3 linked regions of the Caenorhabditis elegans genome follow. The protein of the gene in region 3 interacts with the protein of the main gene of each other region in a pairwise test. Each region holds a gene or a part of one and is shown on either strand. Other genes may lie near its edges.

Region 1 (8,732 bases), on a different chromosome or scaffold from region 3:
ACTGTAGGATTACTGTAGATTAAGAAAAATATGAATTTTCGTTTTTTGACGGGATATTGGTTTGGGGTCAGCGGGGGGATATTGTCGGGGTACTGTAGGGGCACTGTAGGATTACTGTAGATTAAGAAAAATATGAATTTTCGATTTTTGAAGGGATATTGGTTTGGGGTCAGTGGGGGGGATATTGTCGGGGTACTGTAGGATTACGGTAGGATAACTCTAGGATTACTGTAGTTTAGCAAAACTGACTTTTCGTTTTTTGAAGGGATAATGGTTTGGGGTCAGCGGGGGATATGGTTGGGGTACTGTAGGATTACTGTAGTTTTGGAAAAAAAAATGACTTTTCTTTTTTTGAAGGGATAATGGTTTGGGGTAAGCGGGGGGATATTGTCGGGGTACTGTAGGGGTACTGTAGGATTACTGTAGTTTTAGAAAAAAATCACTTTTGGTTTTTTGAAGGGATATTGGTTTGCGGTTAGTTGGGGGATATGGTCGGGGTACTGTAAGAGTACGGTACCTTGCGGAATGAGCACTTTAGCGCCCAAATTGTGTGGCAGTGTGAAGCCGTACTCGACGAGCAGCCGAGCATTGTCATGTGCACCATAACACACGAATATTTGTTCGCCTTCTTGAATTTGACGCTTCGCCTGGACAACGTACCGCCCGTTTCGCTTTTCATGAAGTGCGAGACCCTGGAAATTGGATTTTTTTTACTGTAAAATTATAGTGTTGTTTTTCAAAACATTATTTTTTCAGCAGTATTTGAAAATTCGAAACTTTTTGTTTTTTTTTTCGGTTAGTTTCCTGAAAAATCGGTATTCCTTGGAACCTGGAAATTTTGAAAGAAATTTTCAAAAAAAATTGATTTTTCTGCCAAGCAGCCTCTAATAAATGCCGAGTGTGGCGACTCCGCCCCTTTTTCGCGTTTTTTTTGGCTTGCGAAAAAATGTCCCACTTCGTTTTCATTAATAACTCCAGAGCCGCGCGACATCATGCTCTAATATTTGAAATCCTACTAGAAATATTTTGCCCCACGGTGGAGCAGAAAACGGAACTAAGTTCAGAGCAAAATTGAGCCCAGGGCGGCTTTCCCCAGTTTGAAAAAAAAATTTTTTGCTCTTTTTACCCCCAAAAAACCATGTTTTAATTGAATTAAAATTCGGGTTTTGCTCGGTTTCATTTCAAATTCATGTGCAAGATACTACTCAGAGAGACTGATTTTTTGAAAAAAAGTTTGAGTTCATAAGTGCAAACGAAAAAAAGTTGTGATAAAACAAAAGGTAAAAAAATGCCATTTTGCCAAAAAAAATTTTTTTTTCCGAAAAAGTAGTTTTTCGTCTTTATCTCAAGTTCTACTTCATCTTTTTTGATATTTTTTTTGCTTACCCCACGTAAAAAAATACGCTAAACACGATGTTTAACTCAGAATTGAGAAAAGTTCTATGAGTCGGCCGAGCAAGACGAATAAGTGCCAAATTTTGCACACTTTTCCATTTTCGTGAATCTACTTTTTCAATCATAACTCGGTCAGTTTTTAAGTTTTCTTAGTTTTCTAAAAATTGACGTGTAGGTCTCATCAAGACGCATCGAGACATATAAAATTTGTAAAAAGTTCAGTGGGAAAATTTTTCAAGAAAAAAATAATTCAAAAATTTAGTACTGGGGGGAGTGGTTTCCTGGGTCCCCTGAACATTTTATCCACTAAAGTTTTGCGGAATATATTTTTTATTCATAGTTTTTGATTTTATCTAATGAAAGATGAAGTTTCGTCGCATTAGCAATGCTCTGCCAAGAGATATTATTTTTTATTTATTTTCAGGCCAAAACATGTTTTTTTCTATACATCTGTCTGTGTACAAGATATAGCCCTTAACTGTACGTCTCCCTTTCGGGAATTTTATGATGAGTACAATGCTGTAATAAAACTTTCAAAAATTAGGTTTCCCGCTGACTTATCAGTGATAAACGGTTTTCGAACGTCTTTCCCCAAATAGTCATAATTGAAGAAAGCGGAATTGAAAGACGACTCCCTTCAGAAATTTACATTCCTTACTTCCAGTTTGAGCTCTCTCCCGCATGGCCGGGTGGTTAGTGCGTATGACTGCAGAAATTTTGGTAGTTGGTTCAATTCTACCAAGTGATAAATTTTTTGTTTTTTGTGAGTAATCGGGATTCGAATAGAAATACTCGATTTTATACAAAATATGGGTACGTCTCCCCTAATATAAAGCCTCCTCAAACTTCAATCAATCAAAACTCAGCTTGAACTGAACCGGCAAGGAGACTCGCCTTACACCCCCTACAACTGGCGGGCCCGCAGGGCCCGCTATCCTCAATTTTTTTCAAAATCTGAGGTGTGTTGCCACGTTGCCTCAATACGGTTTGATCTACAAAAAATGCGGGTATTTTTTGCCCAAAAAAATGTGACAAAATCAGTTGAGAACTCTGCGTCTCATTTTCCCGCATTTTTTGTAGATCAACGTAGATCAAGCCGAAATGGGACACTCTGACACAACGTGAGTGCCACGTTTCAAAAAAAAAAACTTTTTTTCGACAAAAAAATATTTTGCGATTTTTCGAATTTTTTTTTTCAAAAAATGTATTATTTTTTGCCGGATTTTGATATTAATGTCATCAAAAAATAATAAAAGTTTCAATAAAAATTAAGAATTTTCGCGCATTTTTCAGCTTTTTAAAATAAATTTTCTCAGGGATCCATGTTCAAAAATTTTTTTTTTCACATAAATCCTTCAGAAAAACCGAACATTTTACGATTTCCTTCAAAAATGTGTCTCGAAAACCTGCATTTTCACAGAAATTGGTTGGAAAAATCGGAAAAGTTCAGATTTCCCTCAAAAAATGCCCTAAAAACCTGAATTTTCACATAAATTCGCCAGAAAATCGAAAAAAAATCAGATTTCCCTCAAAAAATGCCCTAAAAACCTGAATTTTCACATAAATCCATCAGAAAAAGCGGAAATATTCAGATTTCCATCAAAAAATGCCCTAAAAACCTGAATTTTCACATAAATCCATCAGAAAAAGCGGAAATATTCAGATTTCCTTTAAAAAATGTTCCTAAAAGCCTGAAAAGTCTTTTTTGATCCGAAATTTTCTTAAAAATTCGGCAAAAAATCGGAATTTTCCACAAAAAACGGCTAAAAATCCATTTTTCCCGTAAAAATACCCTAAACCTTAAAATTTTCACATAAATCCATCCGAAAAACCGAAAAAATTCAGATTTCCCTCAAAAAATGCCCTAAAAACCTGAATTTTCACATAAATTCGCCAGAAAATCGAAAAAAAATCAGATTTCCCTCAAAAAATGCCCTAAAAACCTGAATTTTCACATAAATCCATCAGAAAAAGCGGAAATATTCAGATTTCCATCAAAAAATGCCCTAAAAACCTGAATTTTCACATAAATTCGCCAGAAAAATCGAAAAAAATCAGAAAAAACTGAAATTTTTCCAATTTTTCTTAGTTTTTCCCGAACCTGATATTTTTCCGGATCATGATTAAGCATATCAACATATGGAATAACTGCAATCGTATCTCCATCACTATTATCCACATTATCGTGCTCTTCATTTTCAACGAAAATGCACCGAGTATTCACCACATGCCACGCCCATAATATCTTGTCGTGGCTCAGTTCGGGAAAGAGGCGGCGGAGCTGAAAATGCAAGTGTGCTCTAGTGATAATGATGGGGGGGGGGGGGGGGGCGGGAATTTGAAATTTCCCTGTATTTTGGGGGTTTTCTTCAAAATTGGCATTCTGTAAAAAATCTGTAAAAACAAAAAACTTATTATCAAAAATTTTGCTCTCTACCCAAATAATTGTTTTTGGACTCGGCACGCACGTGGTAGCAGAGTCTCTCATTTCGGCTTGATCTATGCTGATCTACAAAAAATGCGGGAGAATGTCGACGCAGAATTCTCAAGCTGACGTTACATTTTGTTGGACACAAAAATTCCCGCATTTTTTGTAGATCAAACCGTAATGGGACAGCCCCTGGCACCCCACGTGGCTCGAGACAATTTTCTGAAAAAAAAAGTGTGCGACAGAGCGTAATTGCTCATCAATGTTTCGAATTTTGGCTACACTTTCTTTAAAAAAAAGATTACATTGAATTTAAAAAATCGTATAGATTTTAACTTTATTACGGGAACACAAAATTCTGAAAATGCGTATTGCACAACATATTTGACGCGCAAAATATCTCGTAGCGAAAACTACAGTAATCCATTCAATTAATACTGTAGCTCTTGTGTCGATTTACGGGATCTCCATTTTCTTTTTTTCGAAGAATGAGATCCCGTAAATCGCCACAAGCGCTACAGTAGTCATTTAAAAAAATTACTGTAGTTTTCGCTACGAGATATTTAGCGCGTCAAATATGTTGTGCAATACGCATTCTCAGAATTTTGTTTTATTTTCGTGATAATTTTTATAATTTCAAAACGTTTTTTTTTCAAATAAAACCCGAAAATTGATGAAAATCTCGAAGAAATATTATAAAACGAGGTTTTTATTCAAAAAATACCAAAATTTTTGAGATAACAAAACCTTTTGGGTCTCGAGGCGAAAATGTGCGACAGAGCGTACTTGCATTAATTTTTACAAAGTAGCATTTTTTGGAATAACATTTTTTTAATTTCCAAATAAACATTTATATAAGTACGCTCTATCGGACATTTTTCTAAAAAGTTCATTTTCTTGAAAAACAGAGAAAAATTGGATTTTTTGCAATTTTTCTGAATTTTTCGAAAAAAAACCCCCGAAAATCAGACAGACTGTCCCAATTTTTTCCCGAACAAATGCGACTTCAGCACGTTCTTAACCATGCGAAATCAGTTGAGTACTCTGCCGCATTTTTTGTAGATCAACGTAGATCAAGCCGTAATAAGACACACTGACACCACGTGATCAGAGAACATTTGAAATTTTTTGCACTTTTTTTTCCAACAAAAAAAAACCCCGAAAATCGGAGAAAATTGGATTTTTTTTTGACTTCTCACTACCTTTTCCGAAATCTTGAAAAAAAAGAAACAATTTTGAAAAAAAATGATTTTTTGCAAAGATTCAAAAAAAGTTTTTCAAATTTTTTATTTAATTTTTGAAAATAACAAAAAAAAACATTTTTCCGGGTCTTGAAGCGATTTTCGCTAACTTTTCTCCCGAAAATTATTGCAAATGCTCTCTATCGCACTCCTGAAACCAAAAAATCACTTTAAGCCCCGGAAAATGTCTGATAGAGCGTATTTACATTAATTTTTACAAAATTAAAATTTTTTTTTGCAAATTTTCTGAATTTTTCGAAAAAAAAACCCCGAAAATCAGACAGACTGTCCCATCACGGTTTGATCTACAAAAAATGCGGGAATTTTTCGCCCAGAAAAATGTGACGTCAGCACGTTCTTAACCATGAGAAATCAGTTAAAAACTCTGCGTCTCTTTTCCCGCATTTTTTGTAGATCAACGTAAATCAAGCCGAAATAAGACACTCTGGCACCACGTGATCAGAGAAAATTTGAAATTTTGGCTTTTTTTTTTAAAGAAAAAACCCAGAAAATCCGAAAAAAATTAGAATTTTTTGCAATTTTTCTGAATTTTTTGGCTCTTTTTTGGGTAAAAAACCAGAAAATCGGAGAAAAATTGAAATTTTTTGCAATTTTTCTGAATTTTTTGGAACTTTTTTGAAGAAAAACCCCCGAAAATCGGAGAAAAATTGGATTTTTCGTGACACTTTTCACTACCTTTTCCGAAATCTCGGAAATTTCCTTTTTCTGATCAATCCAATATTTTCGAATAGACAACGGAAGAGTATTCACATCATAGTCAATTCCCTTAAAAGCTGGCGTATTAAATTCCTTTGGTAAAACTTTTAAATAAGGTGACCAGGCGGAGTGTTCCGTGTCTTCAAACGCGAAAAACATTGTCAAAATCTCCATTGGCTTCAGTTTTTCTCCGCCGATTTTTGCCAATTTTTTGCGATAAACCGGGAGATCTACGACAAGTGCCGCGTTGATCATATCAGTCTCTGGAAGAGTTATAAACGCTTTTCCAGTACGGAATCCTGTTGTCGCGTAGATTCCGTTCCCGCAATTTCCGGGTGGTGGACATGTGATTTCTAGGCCATCGAATTGATAGCCACGGCCTTTGCACCAGGAAATGAATTCGTTCATTTTTTAGGGCTGAAATGTTTAAAAAAATTTCGTTTTCAAGGCGTGGGTAAACGCGCTCCATTGATAATTCACACCGTGTACTCGTGTACTCCACATGGACATTTTTGCAGGAGTTTGAATTGTTTCGCGCTCCATTGACAATCGCCTGCCGGACGGGAAAGTCGTGTACTCCACACGGACAAGTTCATTTAGTTTTACAACTAAAATCGAGCCACGCGACGCGCCGTAAATCTACTGAGCCAAAATGGCCTAGTTCGGCAAAAACTCTTCCGTTTCAATATATGAGGGAAGCTAGAATTCCATGAAAAAAATGGTTGGAAAATAAAAAATATTTTTTTGAAAAAATTAAAATTTCCGAATGTTTTCGGAGAAAATTTGAATTTCCCGCTCATAATTTTTGGAAAATTCAAATTGCCCGCCAAAATGTTTTTTGAAAAAAAAAAATTCTATTTTGTCTTGTCCACGCAGACTACAGGACATCGTGATGCTTATCAATGGAGCGCAATTGCACTGTTTGGATTTGAAAATTTCAAAAAATCAATGAAAAAAAGATAGCTGAAAGTTGATTTTCAAATCAAAAATTATGGAAATTTCGGCAAAAAATTACAAAAAATTTTTATTAACAAAAAAATTGTATATATAAAAAATGACAAAAAATTGCTAGGTAACCGTTTTTTTTTGATAGTTCATACACGTCGTACAGAAAATCCAAGAGAGAAAAAGTGGAATGGAATGTAAAATTTTAAGAAGGGGGATACACATGGTGTCAGAGTGCCCCATTTCGGCTTGATCTACGTAGATCTACAAAAAATGCGGGAAAAGAGGAGACGCAGAGTTCTCATCTGATTTCGTATGGTTAAGAACGTGTGGTTGACGTCACATTTTTTTGGGCAAAAAAATCCCGCATTTTTTGTAGATTAAACCGTCAAACCGAAAGTCTGTCTGATTTTCGGGGTTTTTTTTTCGAAAAATTCAGAAAAATTGCAAAAAATCCAATTTTTCTCTGTTTTTCAAGAAAATGAACTTTTTAGAAAAATGTCCGATAGAGCGTACTTACATAAATGTTTATTTGGAAATTAAAAAATGTTATTCCAAAAAATGCTACTTTGTAAAAATTAATGCAAGTACGCTCTGTCGCACATTTTCGCCTCGAGACCCAAAAAGTTTTGTTATCTTAAGAATTTTGGTCTTTTTTGTAAAATCAATTTTTTTTATTATTCAGAGAACTGTTTAAATTTCGCATGGCTAAGAACGTGTGGTTGACGTCACATTTTTTTGGGCGAAAAATTCCCGCATTTTTTGTAGATCAAACCGTAATGGGACAGCCCCTGGCACCAGGTGAGTATATAATAATACAAATATTACAACAACAGAAAAAAAGTGTAGTTGATAATAAAAATTGCATAGAAAGAGAGAAAAAATTGGGAAAAATCGACAAAAAGTGCGTGTTTCAAAAAAATTTTTTTAAAGCTTTTTTTCTGAAAAAAATCCAAAAAAAAAAATTTTTTTTCTAAAAACTAGATTTTGACGCCTGCAAATTTTTTTTTAGAAATTTACGAAAATTTTAGATTTGAAATTTTGGTTAGAAATTTGGGAAAAAATATCTGTAAAAATGTGAGAATAATGATTTTTTTGTTTGTAATTCCAAATATTTTTTAAAATATCTATTTAGGCAAACTTTCAACTGCAAAAGTACTAATTTTGACGCCGAAATTTCAAAATTCAAGAATTTTATTTTTCCTAAAATTTTTATTTTCCGAAAATATTGAAAATGTGGAAAAAAATATAAGAAATTCTGTCACTTTGTCTCATTTTGGCTTGATCTACGTTGATCTACCAAAAATGCGGGAGAAGAGGAGACGCAGAGTTTTTAACTGATTTCTCATGATTAAGAACGAGCTGACGTCACATTTTTTTGGGCAAAAAATTCCCGCATTTTTTGTAGATCAAACCGTGATGAGACAACCTGGCACCACGTGCTCAATGGAATTCCGAACCCCGTAGATTTCAACTACCCCGATTTTCCGATTTCAGCTCTATTTTTCAGAAAAATGTCTGTTTGATTTTCGGGGGTTTTTTTCGAAAAATTTAGAAAATTTGCAAAAAAAAAATTTTTTTCTCGGATTTTCAAGAAAATAAAATTTCTAGAAAAATGTTCGATGTTTGAAAATATTTTTTTGAAAAATCAAAAATATATACTAAAATTTTGTAAAAATTAATGTAAGTAAATACGCTCTATCAGACATTTTTCGGGGCTTAAAGTGATTTTTTGGTTTCAGGAGTGCGATAGAGCGCATTTGCAATAATTTTCCGGAGAAAAGTTAGCGAAAATCGCTTCAAGACCCGGAAAAATGGTTTTTTTGTTGTTATTTTCAAAAATTAACAAAAAAAACGAACGTGTGCGCTGACGTCACATTTTTTGGGCAAAAACCCTTAGGAAATTGCAAAATTCTAAATTTTTACACCGAATTTCACAAATTTCAAATTTTTGAGAAAAATTTTCTGTTTTTTTTGCCAAAAATTCCACAAATTCTAGATATAAA
Region 2 (5,175 bases), 2.9 Mb from region 3:
CTCAGTGGAGGAACAGATGTCTTCCGCTTTTTTTCAATCAACCCGATTGCGGAATCTCGTGATTTTTAATTCAAAATACGATGTCTGGTCTCGATACGACCGAAACTAAAGAGCTACCGTTCATAAGTTTCGTAATCTTCCCACAATATTGTTATAGTTTTGCCCAAATGTTCAAAATAAATTAATAGCACAAAAAATATCTCAAATTTGTTTAAAGGCACGGCAATTCAGTAACTTACCGACTCTTCCTTTAAAATCTTGAAATTTCTTGAAAATTTGTTTTCTTGCATTTGTCCGATCTTGCACATTCTCAGATACTTTTTCATGAATTCCCAACTTATTTTTGATAAATTCTTCTTCACTAGTACACGTTGCTAGAAAAAAATCAAAGAAAAGTGATAACTGAAACATGGCTATCAAAAGTGAAAGATGGTAAATCAAGACATACTTTCAATGGTGTAACGTTCGAATCTACTCCAAGATAAGTGGTTGCTGCTACTGGAAATTCCGAATAAAGTGACAAGAATAATGTAGCAGCATTCAATGGAAGATATATGAAGCCGAGAATTACATGACTGGATTCTTCAAAATGTTTCCCAGCGTATTCTCCATCAAATTCCATTCCAGACAATTTGTTATCTTTATCAACAATATACCATCCATGATGATCAAGCTGATTCTTCTTCTCCAGAAATGTAAACCCAGTTATAGAATCTTGCGGAAGATCAAACATGTTCAATTCCTTTTCGAGCTTCCATGACGCATCGCTACCAACAATCCATACCCCTGTATGCGTTGAATTTGCAGCAATTTTTGAACAGTTTTTGACAGAATTTGACAAATAAGTGTCAAATACATATCCATTACCACCCTTTATTGTTGAATTGTCTTTTGCGTTTTGAAGTGTTCGGGGATCGCTCTGAAAACTGCCAACAACAGTAACCCCTGCGACATATCTATAGATAGTTGAGTGTTCATATAATCCCAGTTTAAATAAACCTAAAGTAACGAAAAAGCATAATAAAACATTCTAAAAAAGTTTTTTCAGACAACGTTTTGACAAATTCCCAAATTTTCAAATGTATTGGCTTTTTGAATAATCTTGAGCATTGATGCAGGTTTTAACCCAGAAGTGTTCTAAAACATGTTTAAAACATACAGTTGAAACGCAATAAATATTAAGCTCGTAGAAATTATTATTTTTTGGTCGGCATCCAAAATTGTGAATGGCGAAAACTCTATTATCATCACTTTTTGACTAAAAATGGAAAATTTCAACACGTTTTAAGATGTTTTACTACACGCCACCGTAAATATTGAAACTTGAGACAAAAAATGTATTTATGCCTATTTCATTGTACAATTATAATTACAGCTATTTCTCAATGTCCAAGAAATTAATTATAATTTTTATTCTACTATTTTATCGAAATAATAAAAAGTACTCACCACCAAAACAATTAACACGTTCACGTCTTGCAAGACGGATTCTGTGAGTACTGTCAAATTATTCCTGTAGCATAGCCTTTCAGCAGTTCTTATTAATGCATTCAATGCACTTCCACAAGATCCTATATCTTCTGATGCATCATTTACTACAAGTATTTCTTCGCAATTCGGAAAGGCGATATTTTGGAAATGTCGTATATCTATAATACGAGTGTGTCTGTAGTTTATATCGTATGAAAATTGAACCTGAATCAATACTACTTGGCTCTATATTGAACCCTAATGAAAATGTGACAATGTCCCAACGCATTTGATAGAGAAAAAGAGTGTAAGAGAGCAAGGAGAATACGACTAGCACTGGTGTATTCCACGTGGTAAAGAGATGGAGACGCAGAAAATGTATAGATGTGAAAAAGATAGTAGAAAACTGGTTTAATATTATTCAAACACAACAAAATGTATAAACATCATACAGTATAATAATAATCTAATCAAAATAATCATCGAGATCAACTCCCGGCTCCAAGAATGTTTCTGAAATGCCTTCTAGATCTGTTTTGTTGAGAATCAGATTTTCGAGTGTCTCCTCCATGTCAGTTTCGCCAATTAGAAGGGCACCGACAATCTTATTTTTGACGACTACACATCGAACGAGTTGATCGTTATCGGCGTCTCTGAATATTAGAGCATGTTTCATTGTAATCTAAAAAGTGTACAGTACCTCAATACAATCTTCCATTCTCCTTCCACCTGTCTCTCTGGTTTGTAGTCTCCAAGAAACACCACCTGAAAGAACATTTGTTTTTCTATGATTCTTTGCACACATCTATCTTTCGGATCGTTTCGCTACTAATATTGTCTTGTGCACTGGACAGCTGTTTACAGCCACATTCCCCCTCTCGTATTTGAACACCCGCCCATTGCTAATTACTTCGCTGCGAGACCATACGAAGCGACGCGTTGCGTGTGCGTCGCGCGTCGAAAATATTCGAATGGGTATCGTTTCGCGGTTTATTCTTCATGAGGAGCAACCGCTCTGCATTTTCCTGTTTTGATCTGTTTTTGTGAGGTTATTTACTAAATTTCTTTTGATTGTTCTATTTGTGACTTTCTCTAATAGGTTAAACACTATTCTCTATTTTCTTCGTGAAATTAGGATTAATCTCAAGCCCCTTTTTATGAAGACCTTTATTTTTTTTTGTTTCAGAATGGAAGAGGAACAACTTCTTGACTACGAAGAGGAGCAGGAGGAGATCCAAGACAAGCAGCCAGAAGTTGGCGGAGGCGATGCCAGAAAAACTAAAGGAACGTATGCTTCTATTCATTCTTCCGGATTTCGTGACTTCCTCTTGAAGCCAGAAATTCTTCGTGCCATCGGAGACTGCGGTTTCGAACATCCATCGGAAGTACAACATGAGTGCATTCCTCAAGCCATTCTTGGAATGGACGTTGTCTGCCAAGCGAAGTCCGGTATGGGTAAAACCGCTGTTTTTGTAATCACCACTCTTCAACAACTGGAGCCAGTGGATGGCGAGGTAAACAGTAATACATCAAATTTCAATAAATCATTGTTTTCAGGTATCTGTTGTTTGCATGTGCCACACTCGCGAGTTGGCATTCCAAATTTCCAAGGAGTATGAGAGATTTAGCAAATATCTCCCAGGAGTCAAGGTAGCTGTCTTTTTCGGTGGAATGGCCATCAAGAAAGATGAGGAACGCCTTGCCAATGACTGTCCACACATTGTTGTTGGAACTCCAGGAAGAATGTTGGCTCTGGCTCGTTCTGGCAAGCTGAAGCTTGACAAAGTCAAGTACTTCGTCCTGGACGAGTGCGACAAGATGATCGGAGATGCTGGTAAGAAATACTTGTAAATATAGGAATCATTATTGAACTTTTTCAGATATGCGTCGGGATGTTCAAGAAATCGTCAAGATGACTCCACAACAGAAGCAAGTGATGATGTTCTCCGCCACATTGCCAAAGGAGCTTCGCACTGTTTGCAAGCGATTCATGCAAGACGTACGCTTTATCTCTGATCCGGAACCTACGGAACCGCTGTTCACTTTTTTGAAACAAAAAACATGTATCAAACCAAAATGCTAGTCATGTGTGTTCCGTGATGCGAAAGAGATGGCCAGAACTTGGTTGGTCGTTAATTCCGAAGTCGCTTTTTGATTTCTCGGATTTCAGATCTCATCTTGTTAAGCCTCTCGCCACGCAGAAGCCATCGTCCTCGGGGGAGGTAGCTGGCTCGCCTCAGCGAAGCTGATTGCTAATAGGTCGAAAGACTTGTCGGGAACACGTGACATGTACTGCAAAACACGTTCCAGCCCCCGATTCATCACCGTGCTGCCGTTCTAGACCTTAAAACATTTTTTCAGCCAATGGAAGTCTACGTCGACGACGAAGCCAAGCTCACTCTGCACGGACTTCAGCAACATTACGTCAAACTGAAGGAAGCCGAGAAGAACCGTCGTTTGCTGAATCTTCTCGATGCACTCGAGTTCAACCAAGTCGTCATTTTCGTCAAGGCCGTAAAACGTTGCGAAGCTCTCCACCAGCTCCTCACAGAACAAAATTTCCCATCAATTGCCATTCATCGTCAAATGGCTCAAGAAGAGCGACTTTCAAGATACCAAGCATTCAAAGACTTCCAAAAGAGAATCTTGGTGGCCACCGATTTGTTTGGACGTGGAATGGATATCGAAAGAGTCAACATCGTGTTCAACTACGACATGCCAGAAGATTCCGACTCGTATCTTCACAGAGTTGCACGTGCTGGTCGTTTTGGAACCAAGGGTTTGGCCATCACTTTCGTTTCTGATGAGAATGACGCCAAGACCTTGAACAGCGTTCAAGACCGCTTCGATATCAGCATCACTGAGCTCCCAGAAAAGATCGATGTCTCTACCTACAGTGAGTTTATATATACCAACGCCCATTCAAAAATTCTTATTTTCAGTCGAAGGCCGAACCAATTGATTCCATGTACCCTCCTATGCATTCAACTAAATATGAGTTCCACCTTCGTTTTACCCGGCATTGTGCTGATGGAGTAAAATGCCTATTGTTTCCCCTAAATTATCGACCTCTGTTTCTTGTGGTCTCATTTACCAATTTTCGTTATCGTTAACAGTTTCCAACTACACGCAAAAAAATTTGACTGTATTATTTATTTTTCTTTTTTCATGAGTGTTTGGAAATAAAATTCGACAATTACCATGCAAATTGTTATTTATCTCACCTTTAACCCGAAAAAAGTCGTACAATGCGAGAACAGTTCGAAATACATATTCTGCATACGAGCCTCTTCGACGCCTGCCACCATCGCTCTTCCACACACTTCTCCTTGCTGACGTGCTTGTGTCCACAATTGTCTCTTAAAATATTTCAACTTTATTTAACACTCAATCTATGGTTATAAAACTTGTTGCCAAAGAGTTGATGGTTCTGTGGTAGTCAGTGCACAAACATCTCCACATGCAAAAACATTAGGAAGTGAGGTTTCGCAAGCGTCGTTGACTTTAATTCCACTATTTTCAGTGATTTGGAGCATTTTATTCATAGCCCAGACTTCTGAGTTGGCAGTTACACCTCCTGCCCAAATAAAAATATCTGGATTGAGCTGGTTATCTGCCTTAATAAAATAACTAGGCTTAATGGTACGATAACTTAAAATGATACCATCTTTTCTTTATCCATGTAATGTACCGACAAATTTTGGG
Region 3 (4,581 bases):
GAAACATCGTTCCTACATTTTTAGGAAGTTTGAAATTCAAATTTATTGCAAGTTTCATGAATTTCCTTATTTTCAAAACAAAGTTTTTGAAATTTTTTCTTACTTTTTAAACTTTCAGTATGGAAACAAGCTGACTGACAACGTTGTGATAAAACCATTCACCGAGTGCCTTCGTGGAGAAAATGTTAAAATTGTAAGCTTAAAATGTTTCTAAACTTTGCCCTGAACCTAGCATTTTCAGCACAAAAATATGCAAAAAACCGTGGAAATTCTTCACAAGAAGGGCTTCAAAACCGCCATGCTGACAAACAACATGTTCTTAGATAAGGTAATCGAGTTCCTATCAATATTGAAAATTTGTTCAATGATTTTCAGGAGCACAAGGAAACCAGACTTCCATGCGATTTGACACATTTCGATGAAGTTGTAGAATCTTGTTTGGAGCATCTCATGAAACCAGACGCTCGATTTTATCATTTAGTTGAGAAAAGACTCGGAGTCAAACCAGAGGAAATTGTGTTTTTGGATGACCTCCATGAAAACATTGAAGCTGCAGAAAAGCTCGGATGGAACACAATTTTAGTAGAAGACATTGAAAAGGCGATTCATGAACTTGAGGGTTTCACTAAGGTTAAGCTGATCTAATTGGTGATGTATGTATATCTAACCGCTTTATAACTGCAATATAATTATCAAATTGTCACTTTTTATCAGGAATATAATAAATTGGAATGGTATCAAAAAATAAATAATTTGGCGATGAGAGCGATGAATCAGTTTAAGAACCCAGTTCTGTGAGCAAATTCAGGGAAACATTTTATCATTGCAGCATGCCATTCAGCTTTCATTATGTTGTCCCTGGAAAAATATGATTTTTTAAATTTGAAACTTCTACAAAAATTGTTCACAAATAATTTCATTTCAATTAATATTTCAAAGCCTTTTTAAAATAAATTGTATTGATTCTAGCAGCATGGGGATGTTTAGGTATTGTTTTAAAATATTTATATTTGAAATTTTGATTTGAAAAAACTCCAAAACTCACGTAATATTATGCGGCGGAATGTCACTTCCATGCTGCGAAACCGTATGTTTTCTCATCGTTGATTTTCGATAGTCCAAGTAATCACACTGCTTGCATTTATATTGTCTTCCAACACAATGAAGAGCAATCACATGCATTTGGAGATTCCATCGACCGCTTCTAGGCGTTTTGACTCGAACTCCACAGAGCTGACATTCATGGTAGTCGCCGACGGATTTGGCCTTTTTCGCGGCAGAATCCGAGTTGGAGCCAGATGGTTCGTCGTTCTGAAAATGAGGAATTGTGAGTCTTGGAATATAGAAAAAACTACTAACCGAGTTGACACCTATAGGCACAATTTCCGGTTCTCCACTCAACAAGCTCATCAGTTGATCTCTATACTCCTGTTCCTCGGCGTGATGATCATAACGGCGTTTGACACACCTGAAATCTTTTTTTTTTAATTTCTCGAATGTCCAGTAGATTTATTAAAGTAGATAAACTCACGGCTTGCTAGTAAGTCGAATATCCTCTTCCTCCTCCTCCTCAACAATATCGTCGTCTTCAATCGGTCCAACACCAACACTTGAAGCTTCCTGTCGGATGCCCGTAGATGTCACCATTGAATTCGAAACTTGTGAAAACGATGGAAATAGAACTCTGAAAATTTGATGAACTTAAAGTCGCAAATTTTATTTGTAAAAACTTTTCTGCTAAGTATTATACCGTATTTCCTCTAATAGTATTTCAACCAACTGATAAATTTGATAACTCAGTTGTCGTTTGTTTTATTGAAAAACTTTCGACTGACAAAATATTTGTTAAATGTTTTTCTATAGATTTGCTGTTGATTATTTATTGATATCTTTGAAATGAACCGAGATATAACTTTTTGAAAGACTAGTAGAGAATATACAGCAAATAAAGGCAGAAGGTGAGGCTTCGGAAATTTTTTTTTTGGCGAAAGAGAAGTTTTCGACAAAATAAAACCTTTTTTATTGGTTCTTTTAAGAGTGAATTTTTCTGAATTGTTTGTGAAATATAAGGTTTGATCTCAAAAATTTCCATTTTTTAAATAAAAAATATTTAAAAAAAAACCACCTACTTTTGCTCATGCACTGGATATGGAGAATGTCGAGTTTCAAATGTGACAGGAGATGAAGCTGTTTCACGGAGTTCATCTCTTGAAATTCTTGGCTCTTCTCTCTGGATTCTGTCGAGAGTCGGGTGTCGCGAAAGATCGTCCAACAGCATGAATCGAGCAAATCCATTTTCTAGCTGAAACTTTTTTTTTTCCAATTTAGTTATTTTTCACTAGAAAAACCCACCATAACTTGAACCAACTGAAGTGCTCGCTCCTTTGAGTCTATTTCTACTACGAGAAATTTTGGATCCATTCTGAGAAAAAAATTAGTTACAATATCTTAAAAGTCACGGAAGAATTCGGAGAAATATGAGGAAAAAAACCTTGAAAAAAATCCTCCCTTTCTTTCCAAATTTTCCTAAATTCTCGGCGAAAAATCAGGTTGAAAAAAACTCAAATAATTTCCTACTAAAATCCTACGGTAATGAATTTCTAGAAACAAAGAAAAAAAACTGAGCATAAGTGGCCTATAGTGATGAGATAATTCAGCCAGCAGGCAGCAGCATGCGGGCAGTCAACAGCAGTCAGCAGGCGGTCATCGATCGAAGGACAAGCAGTGCTGCGATGCAGGCAGTGAGTGGGGACTGAGAGAGTGTGCAAGATGAAGAGTGTACAGACATACGTGTACTGACGGACTGGGGAATTGGGTGGTGGAAGGGGGAAGGAAAGAGAGGGAGAGGCTGCGGAGACTGCTGTTTGGATTCAAATGCATAGCTGTTGGATTTTGCAATATATTGCAAAAAGGTGATGGGGAGATTTTAATAAAGAAGGTTTGGGTGGGGACTTTAAGAATATTGTAACTTTTTAAAGCTACCGTATTTCGGAAAATTTATTTTGCTTTATTTGAAAATTATTTTTATTTGACTTGGAACATCTGAAAAAGTGCACAAAAATTGCCGGAAATTTTTTCCGATAAATTCTCTGGTTTTTCAAGCAATTTTCGTATTGCTCGGCACTTTTGCAGTTGTTTCAAGTAAAACAAAAATTATTTTCGGATAAAAAGACTATTTTTTTATATTTAAGTTGATGGGTTTTTATCCTAAAATAATCTAGAGCACTAAAAATGCTTTAAAAATTATTTCAAAAAAATTCAAAAAATGTTTGCTGCAAAAAAAAACTGCCGGATGAAGCCAGAAAATTTTTGAAACTTTCAGTTCATTTTCTCTTCCTTCTATTTTCACAATTTTTCTGACAAATGATGAATAATCAAAGAGTTTCCTAAACAATTCGCTGCTGTACTTTTTCCTCTTGCCTTCTCTGAAACCAAAACTTCTGACTCACAATTTCCGTTTGAAAACGGGAGAGAGGAACTCTTTTTTTTCAGAAGTTTATATTTCAGTTTTTCAATTCTGAAAAATTATAAAATTTGGATATGAGACAATTAAAAATATATACATAAGTGCCACGTAAATCACGGTCTAACAAATTAAAAATAAAGAAACAAAAAAAACGTTACAAAACCACAGAACAATTCATTTATTAGTTCTCATTTGATTAAAATGAGTGAGCTTGTCAGCAATCTAAAGACTCGTCCAGATATATCGAAGCCACAATGGAGTCAAAGGACATATTACGGTAAGAATTCTTCAGGTTGCCAAAAAGTGCCAGCGAAGTTAAGACTGTTTAGATGGGATGTATCTGAAAGTTAATGTGCGGTGCATTGCAAAATTCTTGCATTTTTCAAAGTGAATAATAGCACATCGCGAAGCACATTGGACACCTTTTTCAATAATAGCACATTGGACACCTTTTTCATCGAATTATTCGGTATTTGGCTCTAGCTTCTTGCCCACGTTTTGCCCAAAACTATTAACGTTGATGAGAAATTGGCAAAACTTCGGCGAAAGTTGGGCAAGATTTTGACAAGACCTGGATTTAGGCTGCGCCAGATTTTGTCCCAAGTTTGATCAAACTCTTGGAACACTTTGGCTCAAACTTTTCTTGTGCCGCTTTGAACTTGAGAGACCCGAAAATTTGGAAACGCCAGAAATCAATAAATTACAATCTGATTTACTTCTGATTTTTAACATTTATTAACCTACATTGTAAAGAAATCCTCTTTTCCAGGTCGTGTCCGTCACTTTTTCACTCTTACTAACCCACTCACCCTGACCTCATCAGTTGCACGACAAGAGCAATGCCGACAAATTGTCTTGGACTACAAGAACGGAAAAGTCAGTCCGACGTTGACTGTGAGCGAGTTGTGGAAGGCAAAGACGTTGTATGATTCCACGTATCATCCGGATACCGGGGAGAAGATGTTCTTCTTGGGAAGAATGAGTGCACAGGTACATATAAAACCAATTGAAGCAACACAAAAAAGTTTGTGTTAAATATTGGCCAGAGTTGACTCAATCTTTAGTTAATTTGGCGTAGTCTGACCAAACTTTTGCCCATGCCAAATTCCGAGCCA

What was found.
Region 1: the proteins of lir-3 (region 3) and set-29 interact in a two-hybrid assay, tested with the Caenorhabditis elegans proteins (one large-scale study listed by BioGRID).
Region 2: the proteins of lir-3 (region 3) and hel-1 interact in a two-hybrid assay, tested with the Caenorhabditis elegans proteins (one large-scale study listed by BioGRID).

What each region holds. Positions count from the first base shown.
Region 1 is NC_003279.8:1,403,401-1,412,132, reverse strand, and holds the start of set-29 (SET domain-containing protein), read right to left. Parts: upstream 6,199-8,732; 5' UTR 6,190-6,198; coding exon 5,761-6,189; intron 3,677-5,760; coding exon 3,497-3,676; intron 693-3,496; coding exon 518-692; intron 1-517.
Region 2 is NC_003280.10:8,326,352-8,331,526, reverse strand, and holds hel-1 (Spliceosome RNA helicase DDX39B homolog), read left to right. Parts: upstream 1-2,656; 5' UTR 2,657-2,657; coding exon 2,658-2,984; intron 2,985-3,027; coding exon 3,028-3,304; intron 3,305-3,350; coding exon 3,351-3,469; exon of another isoform or gene 3,470-3,594; intron 3,595-3,640; exon of another isoform or gene 3,641-3,831; coding exon 3,832-4,366; intron 4,367-4,412; coding exon 4,413-4,432; 3' UTR 4,433-4,675; downstream 4,676-5,175. Other genes in the region: C26D10.4 (GHMP kinase N-terminal domain-containing protein), read right to left, coding at 240-402, 449-919, 1,450-1,649, 1,696-1,759; C26D10.3 (Pyridine nucleotide-disulfide oxidoreductase domain-containing protein 1), read right to left, coding at 1,937-2,123, 2,171-2,235, 4,695-4,829, 4,878-5,087, 5,135-5,175.
Region 3 is NC_003280.10:11,182,386-11,186,966, forward strand, and holds lir-3 (Transcription factor lir-3), read right to left. Parts: upstream 2,423-4,581; 5' UTR 2,422-2,422; coding exon 2,353-2,421; intron 2,303-2,352; coding exon 2,130-2,302; intron 1,685-2,129; coding exon 1,532-1,684; intron 1,469-1,531; coding exon 1,360-1,468; intron 1,312-1,359; coding exon 1,046-1,311; intron 859-1,045; coding exon 774-858; 3' UTR 690-773; downstream 1-689. Other genes in the region: bigr-1 (HAD family phosphatase), read left to right, coding at 119-193, 242-328, 376-645; sfxn-1.2 (Sidoreflexin), read left to right, coding at 3,668-3,743, 4,236-4,456. UniProt on the Caenorhabditis elegans protein: Positively regulates the RNA polymerase III-associated transcription of small non-coding RNAs.